Linked DNA regions of Oryzias latipes. The protein of the gene in region 1 purifies or fractionates together with the protein of each later gene. This does not show direct contact. Links are inferred from orthologs where the notes say so. Each region holds a gene or a part of one and is shown in the gene's direction. Other genes may lie near its edges. The genes, in order: rcc1l and trub2.

Region 1 (3,821 bases):
CTGAACCAGATCAGGGATGCTGTCTTCTTTCACACAGTCTGTCAAACAGAACAGAACAGTGTTCCCTTTCCACGTTGCAGTTCATCTTTTGCGGTTTCGCTCATTCTTTTAGTGCGATGATGCTTTTTTTTTCTGCAGAAAGTGTGCAGAAAATTCTTCTGCTGCTGGATTGTGGTGTAAGATTTGTTGGTCGCCGCACAAACGCAGCATTTCTTTGAGTTTGCGTTTTACACGACGTGCATCAAATGATGCAAATGCCTCTAAAATGAGAAGAAAAGACACAGTTTTGAAACAAAATGTTCCGTTTTAAAATATATCTTTATTTTCAATCAAAATAATTTTGTCCAGATTCCATTTTATGTATTTATTTATTTTTAAGGTGGATTACCAAAACACACATTTGCTCCTGGTTAGAACCTTTCGTGGACTACGAGTTGAAACGTTGGCGCTAGAAGGAGCTTTGGCGTCTTTTCTTCTGGTGCTTTGGTGGAGCGGAAACCTCCTTCATGTGTGCTTCTGAACGCCACTCCACTGCAGCAGATGTTCACTGTGACGAGTGAAACCAATAAAAATGGACTTTTATGATTTGAAACGAGCTTTGTGGCTTCATGTCTGGCACTCAGGGGAGAGACGTGTCACAAAGATGTTTGTTTCTTTTTGCTCCGTTGCCTTAAATGTTATGTTTTAGTTCATTCAGACGTTCATCACTTATCTGAGAAAAGTCCAATTTCATTTGAGTTTATTTGTATGGAAAGACGCCTCCAAATGAAAGTGTTTTTCTTTTTCTCTCCTGTTTTATATCTGAAAACTTCACTTTTGTGTTTGTCATTTGTTAGTTTTCAGTTTGGGCAACAACGCGTTCGGCCAGTGTGGGAGGCGGATAGTCCGAGATGAAGTCTACAGGTGCGTCGCTTTAACTTATTGCATCATTTTTCTGCTGAAATACAAGATATTTCTCTGATTTAAATCCAGTCTTTTCTTCTATCAGCTCAGTTTTTAAGACAGATAAAGGAAGAACAGATTAATTTAAGAACTTTTTTAAAAATAGGATAAAGCAGAAAAAATCAATCTGCTTTGTGGTTTTCTTGTGATAAAATACTTTAATCTTTCCTGTTTCTTTATGATTCAACATTAAGACATTATTAGAGATAATTTATTTATGTTTAGGAATAATCACCTGATAAAAGTTATATTATATTTTATGATGATGAATCATTAAAACAAAAAAATCTATTTCACTTTTATTGTTTATTTTACTCAGTAAAAACAATTATAAGATAATAATAATGATAAAAATAATTTGATTTAAATAGACTGATCCAATTATAAAAGCTGTAACAGACATTAATGTTTATTACACCAAGGTGATCATTTAAAATGGCAACAATGTTTAGATTTTTCAGCAAAATTCACAAGAAAACTAGACTTTTGCAGAAGTGGATGTTTAAGTTCTGTTCTTTAACCCTTGTGCTATCCTATGGGGTCCATATGACCCCCCCCTTACATTGACGTGTTCTCCCTACCATGACAAAGGTGGATAAAGGTGGAAAGAAGGGTTACTTGAAAGCAGATTTGTGAATAGAAATGTATAATTTATGTTTCAGCAAAGCTCCAGGTTTGGTTTTTCTCACTGAAATAGTTTAGGCAGCTCTCTGGAAATCTCTTGTTTAGGATTTACTTTAGAGATTTGCTGTTTTCCTTTTGGCATCAGTAAAAATCTTAAACGTGATTTTATTTTGAAAAACAGCATCAATCTAAACACAGAAAAACGTGGTTTTGATGGAACTGAGATGAGGATTAACGATTGTAACGATGACTTTAAAAAAAGATTTAAAGGCAAAGTAACAAATGAAAACCTTTAAAGGAATATTTATCTCCTGGATCTTCATAATATTGCAGAACATGAACATTTGTGAAGCTTCATTCTGTTCATCTCGATCTGTTTCGCTGAAAATGGTGTTTTTAGTGTTTTTAACGTGTTATTGTAGCATTTTTCTGATGGTGGAGGACATATATAAAGAAACTTAGGCTTAATTGCATTTCCCAGTATTTCTTTATGCAAATCGTTGTGAATCAGGAGCAAACAAACAAGTGTCGATGAGAGGAAGTGGGGGGGGGGGTCGCTCTATGTCACAGTGTTTTAGATTCAGGCTAAAAACGACATTGTTATAATTAAAGGCAACGCTTTGAACACAGATCAGGAGATCAGAGACTCTGGTCGTCTGACTGACGGTTCCTGTTTTTGGTTTCAACAGCGACAGCCACGTCATCCACAAGATGGAAGGCTTCGGCGACAAGGTCGTCCAGGTGAGGCACACCCGGGCAGTCCTCTTGAGGCACACCCATTGCAAAGTGTCCACTCCGTCTGCATTAAGTAGATCTCTTTAGTTAAGTCAGGAGTCTGCACACTTTCACAGTAAAAGAGCCATTTGGTCCAGTTTCTGACAGACCTGAACCAGAACCAAGTCCCGACTCACTGCTTACAAAAATAAAAATCAAGTATAGCTTTTAAATGTTAACCAGAACTGAATCGTAAAAGTGGTTTTTTTTTCTATACATAACATATTTTAACTTCTTTTACTTTGGACTGCAACAGGATCCTTTCAAAATAAAATACAATTAAGATCTTCCTGCTGCAGCAGATTTACTTAAATTAAAAAGGCTGAAGTCAAACACGGCGTTTCCGATCATTATGACTTGGGTTCACCGCCATCTTTATTTCCCTTTTTACCATCAAATATTAACATGACAGCAGTAAATCCATCCACATTAGTGCAACTATGGGTGTGTCAGAAACGAGGCCGTCGTCCTGCGTTGGCCGGGTCCTTCGTCGAGCGGGTTGACGGTTGTGAATATGAACCGGTCTAGCCTTTAGGTAATTCTAGCCATTACATCGGTGGGTGTCCTGTCGCCTAGCAACCCTGAGTCCCGAACAGAGAGGAGTAGGGAACCAGGATGCTTAAAATGTTCCTGTCTTTATTTGATCCAGCTTTTAATCTCGGAGGTGTAAATATAAAAAAAAAGTGCAATTTTCTCCAACTCCGGGTCCCGCTTCACAGTCCGCCATTGTTGTCAGGAAATCTCTGGGTTCGGCTGCAATGCATCTTGGGATATGAACAGGGGTCTTCAACTTGTGGCTCCTTGGCTTTGAAGAAAAATAACGAAATAAATGATAAATATTGTTTTGGTTAATTTGTTTGAATTAGGTTTAGTCGTTTCTGTTTTTAACTCGTCAGATGAAGGCGCACCAAAATCATAAAAATGGAAAATATCAAGAATATTTCTTATTTAACACACTTATTTGGGCGTATTTTTGCATGTGCTGCTTTTACAGTCAAAGAACATAATTTGTTGTGTATAGAAAAAACCATCACAGTTTATACTTCAATTATTATATTTTATAACAATTTCATACATAAATGGTCTAACGGCCACCGAAACATTAAACGGAAAGTGTTTTTCCAAACAAGAACTTTGTGGCTCTCACTGGGTTTTGCTCTGTGACAAACGGACCCAAATGGCTCTTTTATTGTGAAAGGTTGCAGACCCCCGCCATAGAGGGGCCGATCCTTGAAATCCGGTAAAAGAAGGCCGCCTTTGAAGGAGTCGTTGAATTTGGACAGCACTGTGATGTCAGCAGCCTACAGGAGGAACGCAGCCTATAAACTTTAGGAACTTTGCTTCTAAAAAAAACGACTAGACATTGTTTTCCAGCAGAAGATAAGATTTATTTTAATAATAAACCCATCTAACAGTCGATTTAGCTCTAAATATCATTTGGATCAGTTTATCTGTCATGGTAAAAATCTTAAAAAAGCAAA
Region 2 (3,921 bases), on another chromosome or scaffold:
TATCTAAGGGGAGGAGGAGACAGCAGCTGAATCTACAGATACTAGACACTTTGGAAAGGGTGTATTTGGAGCCTACAAAAAGTAGTTTGGTTTTGTCGCTGTTGAGTTTAATAAAGTAAACCAGTTTTTGATTTCAAACAAACAGGAGGAAAAGGTCGGGGGTGGAAGAGAGGAATCAGGTTTACTGGACAGATAGAGCTGGGTGTCATCCCCGAAACAAGGAAAGTCAATGTTGAATTTACGAAAAATAATGCCAGAAGTAGGAAGGAACTGATTAAGAGAAGAGGACCGAGGACAGAACCCTGAGGAACACCCGTAGAAACTGATGAAGACTGAGATCTAATTTAAGTTGGATGAACTGAGAAGAATGAAACCAGCAGAGGGGGGTGGGAAAGACAAGAAAGTCTATGGAGGAGGATGGAATGAAATATTGAGACTATTTTTTCCGAGGATTTTGGAAATAAATGGCAGGTTAAAAATCAACAGTACTTGCTAAGAATATTAGGATCGGAGCCGGGTTTTTCAAAGAACAGTACCAGAAGCTGATAAAGAATGAATAATGGCAGAGATAAGGAGACGGAGAAAGGGGAGGCATGATCAAAGAAGCTGACATGCAGACGGTTTTGACCTTGGATGAGGGGGGAGATTTCACTGGGATCTGGTAACTGGAAAGTAGAAAATGTATGGGAGAGAGAGAAAGAACCGGGGGGGGGGGGGGGGGGGGGGGGGGGCTGATGTATAGTTCTTTGGTGTCACTGGAGTGCATGTGAGAAGGAAGACATGAGAGATGAGACACATTGGATAGACTTATTTGAACATTTGAGCACACTCACTAAGGAGTTAGTGTGAGCACCGGCCTAATTTAATTTAGTCTCATTTTTTGTTGTGCATTAATTAGTTTTGAAGTTATGACTGTATGTGTAGACATGTATACATTTTTATTGTTATGATAAAAAATGAAATTCAAAATAACTTCTTTTATTGTTTGTTTGTTAAACCTTTCCCCTTAACTGAATTGTTTAATAAAACACAACCAAACAAAAACAGGTTTATTGACCTTTTATTGTCGTCCTCCAGTCCAGCAGGTGGCAGTATAAAAACAGCATCTAACCTGGTGAGGCGTGTGGTACAATGTACGCATGCGTCATAGCAATGTGACGGATTTTTGCATCCTTGTGCAGCTGACTGGCGTGACAACCATCTAACAATGTAAATTTATAGTAGTAATAATAGTTTTTAACACCATGGTAACCCCGCTAAAGCTTCGCCGGTTACACGGCTTGTTCTGTGTTTACAAACCCCTCGGCGTGCACTGGAAGCTCGTGCGTGATACCATCGAGACTAACCTCCTTAAAGGTGAGGGGGAAAGCTGTCCTGTCGGCATAGCTATCCACATTCATGTTTTTAAACTGCGTCACGTACATGCAAATGTTCATGAACCTGTCGTTCTGCTGGAGGGAACGTCGCCCCCCCACCGGCTCTTCCCCACAAGGTTCGGTTCTTGGCGGAACCGAGTCCGACCGGCGAGGCCGGAGCGGCGGCGTCGCTGTCCGCGGCACCGGTGCCTGCGCTCTCCCATCATCCTCTGGGTAAGTCGCTGTGGAAGTCGGGTTTAGTTTCATTTCTCAGCTTCAGCCAGAGAATCAAACCTATTGAATAGCCAAAATTACCATTACTGCGCATGCGCTGTACGTGCTCGGGGTTTGAGAGGACGCAGAGAAGCTGTAGAATACCTGTAATTGTGTGCGACCTGAGAAAGCAGGCAACAGAATGAACCAGTCAGTGGTGACGTCAGAGCAGCAGAACAACCATCAGCAGTGTTTCCTGTCTGAGCTCCATCACATCGTTCCAGTTTTACGACTCACTCCTATGAAAACTGTGTGTTTCACATGTTCTTGTGGCATTTTTCTCATGATGGACATCTATGAAAGAATTGAAGCTCAAAGCAGCATTTCCGAGTATTTGTTTAATCAAATCGCAGTGAATCAGGAGCAGACGAAAACATGCAGTTGGAATAAGCTTGTAGATGTAGAAGCTGCAAACTTCCTGCTCTGCTCCATTCTGATGCATCCGCATGTGGATGACTACATCCTCCGTGGCAGTGATGGTGTTAGGAACTAAAAGATGACTGGGAACACTTTTAGAATATATCAGAGGATGATCATAGTGGGACTTTAAGACCAGAATATCAACACTCAGAAAACCCAAATACAGAAAATGCTAAAAGATTCATGAAATGTTTGTAACTGAAGCCAACTAAACAAGAAGCAAACTGACAACAAAAGAATCGTTGAAACATCTGTTAAAAGAAAAAAAGGGACAATTGCAGCACAGACAACATTTGTAATGATCCTACGACAAAAAGGCTGCTCTAAACACACTTTGAATTGAGGTCATTATAAAGGTTGATTTGATTCATGTCCTGCACGTTATGCCCCCCCCCCCAGGTAAAGATTTTGAATAAAGTTCAGGGCCTACAGTTATAAAAGGCTGTTTCCATGTGAGGAACTGTGACTGTGGGGAACAAGTGTCCATCATTGTTCATTTAAAAGGTCAGGAGACCCAGATTTGCATCTTGATTTTGGGATTTCTCATTTCAGTAACCGGACCTGAATTCCAACACATACGCGTTGGAGTCGGCCATCGCCTGGACGCCGCCTCCTCTGGAGTTCTGGGTATGACCTCTCACCTGATCCTGAGGTGATGCTGCTGCATCCAACCTGAACAAAATAAGAAAGGACCGCCCTGTGTTCACGTTGTAGTTCTCGCTGTTGGGAATGGAAACAAGGCTCTAGATGACCTGTACAAGACACGAGTGACCCGGGTAATGCCTGTCCTCTGCTGGTTTGAAGAAGTAGTTCAGCTACACGCTGTGGCGATGAGCTCAATGCTGCTTTTGTTCCTTTCAGGATTATATGCTGGAATGTGAATTTGGGATGGCAACCAAAGACTTCTCTCACACGGGTCGAGTTGTGGAAAAATCCACTTACGGTAGTTTCCCTTTTTTCACAGCGTCTTAAACCACTGAAGAAATGTTTCAGAATAAAACAAATGAGGTTCAGATGTATTTTAAATAAGCAGGTGCTGTCTGGCCTCTTCCATTAGGACTGTGTTAAGGAATGGTTTATACTGGAATGGTTTATACTGCACACCCATAAGTGTTGTGTTTTATCAGGTCACATCACTCTTGATAAGCTGGAGAGAGTGCTGGCAATGCTGGAGGGAGCCAATCAGAAGGCAACGAGAATGTAAGGCAGTGACTGCTAAAAGTCAAATATTTCTCTAAATCTGACTCTGGTTTTTTTCTCAACCCGTTAACACCGGACGGAGCTCCAGTGTTGACTTTCTTCTGACTGCCGTACCTTTTCAACTGCTTATGCTCTGAACCCAATTCCAGAGGAGTCTGACGTGGAGAAAAGCAGCTTTGTGCTGATATGTGACGCTTTAAAGCTACATCCATGCAGCACCTCGCATTCAAGTGGACACTCTCTCTAAAAAGTCAACGTAAACGCCCGTAAACCCAGGTTCAAGGCTTCTGTGGTCCAGACCCTCACGTCATTGAAGTGTGACAGTCTGCTCTACGTGCTGAACTCACACCCACACTTTAGCTGAACTCCTGTTTGGTAATGACGTATAGACGGCGTCCTTTTGCAAACACGGATTTGCCAACCTTTGTAAACATGATTATGAAGGAGAAATTCATATTTGTAACGCACCGGGTCTTTCATCGGAATAGAGCTGAGAGAGAAAAAGCCCCGGGGCAATTAACGTGGGATTTACACCACTTTGACATTTCGCACCAAGCCTCTTCCAACCGTAGGTAGTGGACACCTGCTGGTATCCATCCATCCCTCCCTCCACCCATCCACCCATCCACCCAACCATCCCTCCCTCCCTCCCTCCCTCCATCCATCTTCATCA

What was found.
Region 2: the proteins of rcc1l (region 1) and trub2 purify together in Homo sapiens (affinity purification with mass spectrometry; 3 studies listed by BioGRID and IntAct, with this or other methods). This does not show direct contact. The link is inferred for Oryzias latipes from reciprocal best matches to the Homo sapiens genes RCC1L and TRUB2.

The regions. Positions count from the first base shown.
Region 1 is NC_019872.2:27,476,730-27,480,550, forward strand, and holds part of rcc1l (RCC1-like G exchanging factor-like protein), read left to right. Parts: intron 1-836; coding exon 837-903; intron 904-2,255; coding exon 2,256-2,307; intron 2,308-3,821. UniProt on the Homo sapiens protein: Guanine nucleotide exchange factor (GEF) for mitochondrial dynamin-related GTPase OPA1. Activates OPA1, by exchanging bound GDP for free GTP, and drives OPA1 and MFN1-dependent mitochondrial fusion. Plays an essential role in mitochondrial ribosome biogenesis.
Region 2 is NC_019863.2:528,877-532,797, reverse strand, and holds the start of trub2 (mitochondrial mRNA pseudouridine synthase TRUB2), read left to right. Parts: upstream 1-1,121; 5' UTR 1,122-1,244; coding exon 1,245-1,356; intron 1,357-1,454; coding exon 1,455-1,589; intron 1,590-2,600; coding exon 2,601-2,675; intron 2,676-2,762; coding exon 2,763-2,824; intron 2,825-2,909; coding exon 2,910-2,991; intron 2,992-3,175; coding exon 3,176-3,248; intron 3,249-3,921. UniProt on the Homo sapiens protein: Minor enzyme contributing to the isomerization of uridine to pseudouridine (pseudouridylation) of specific mitochondrial mRNAs (mt-mRNAs) such as COXI and COXIII mt-mRNAs.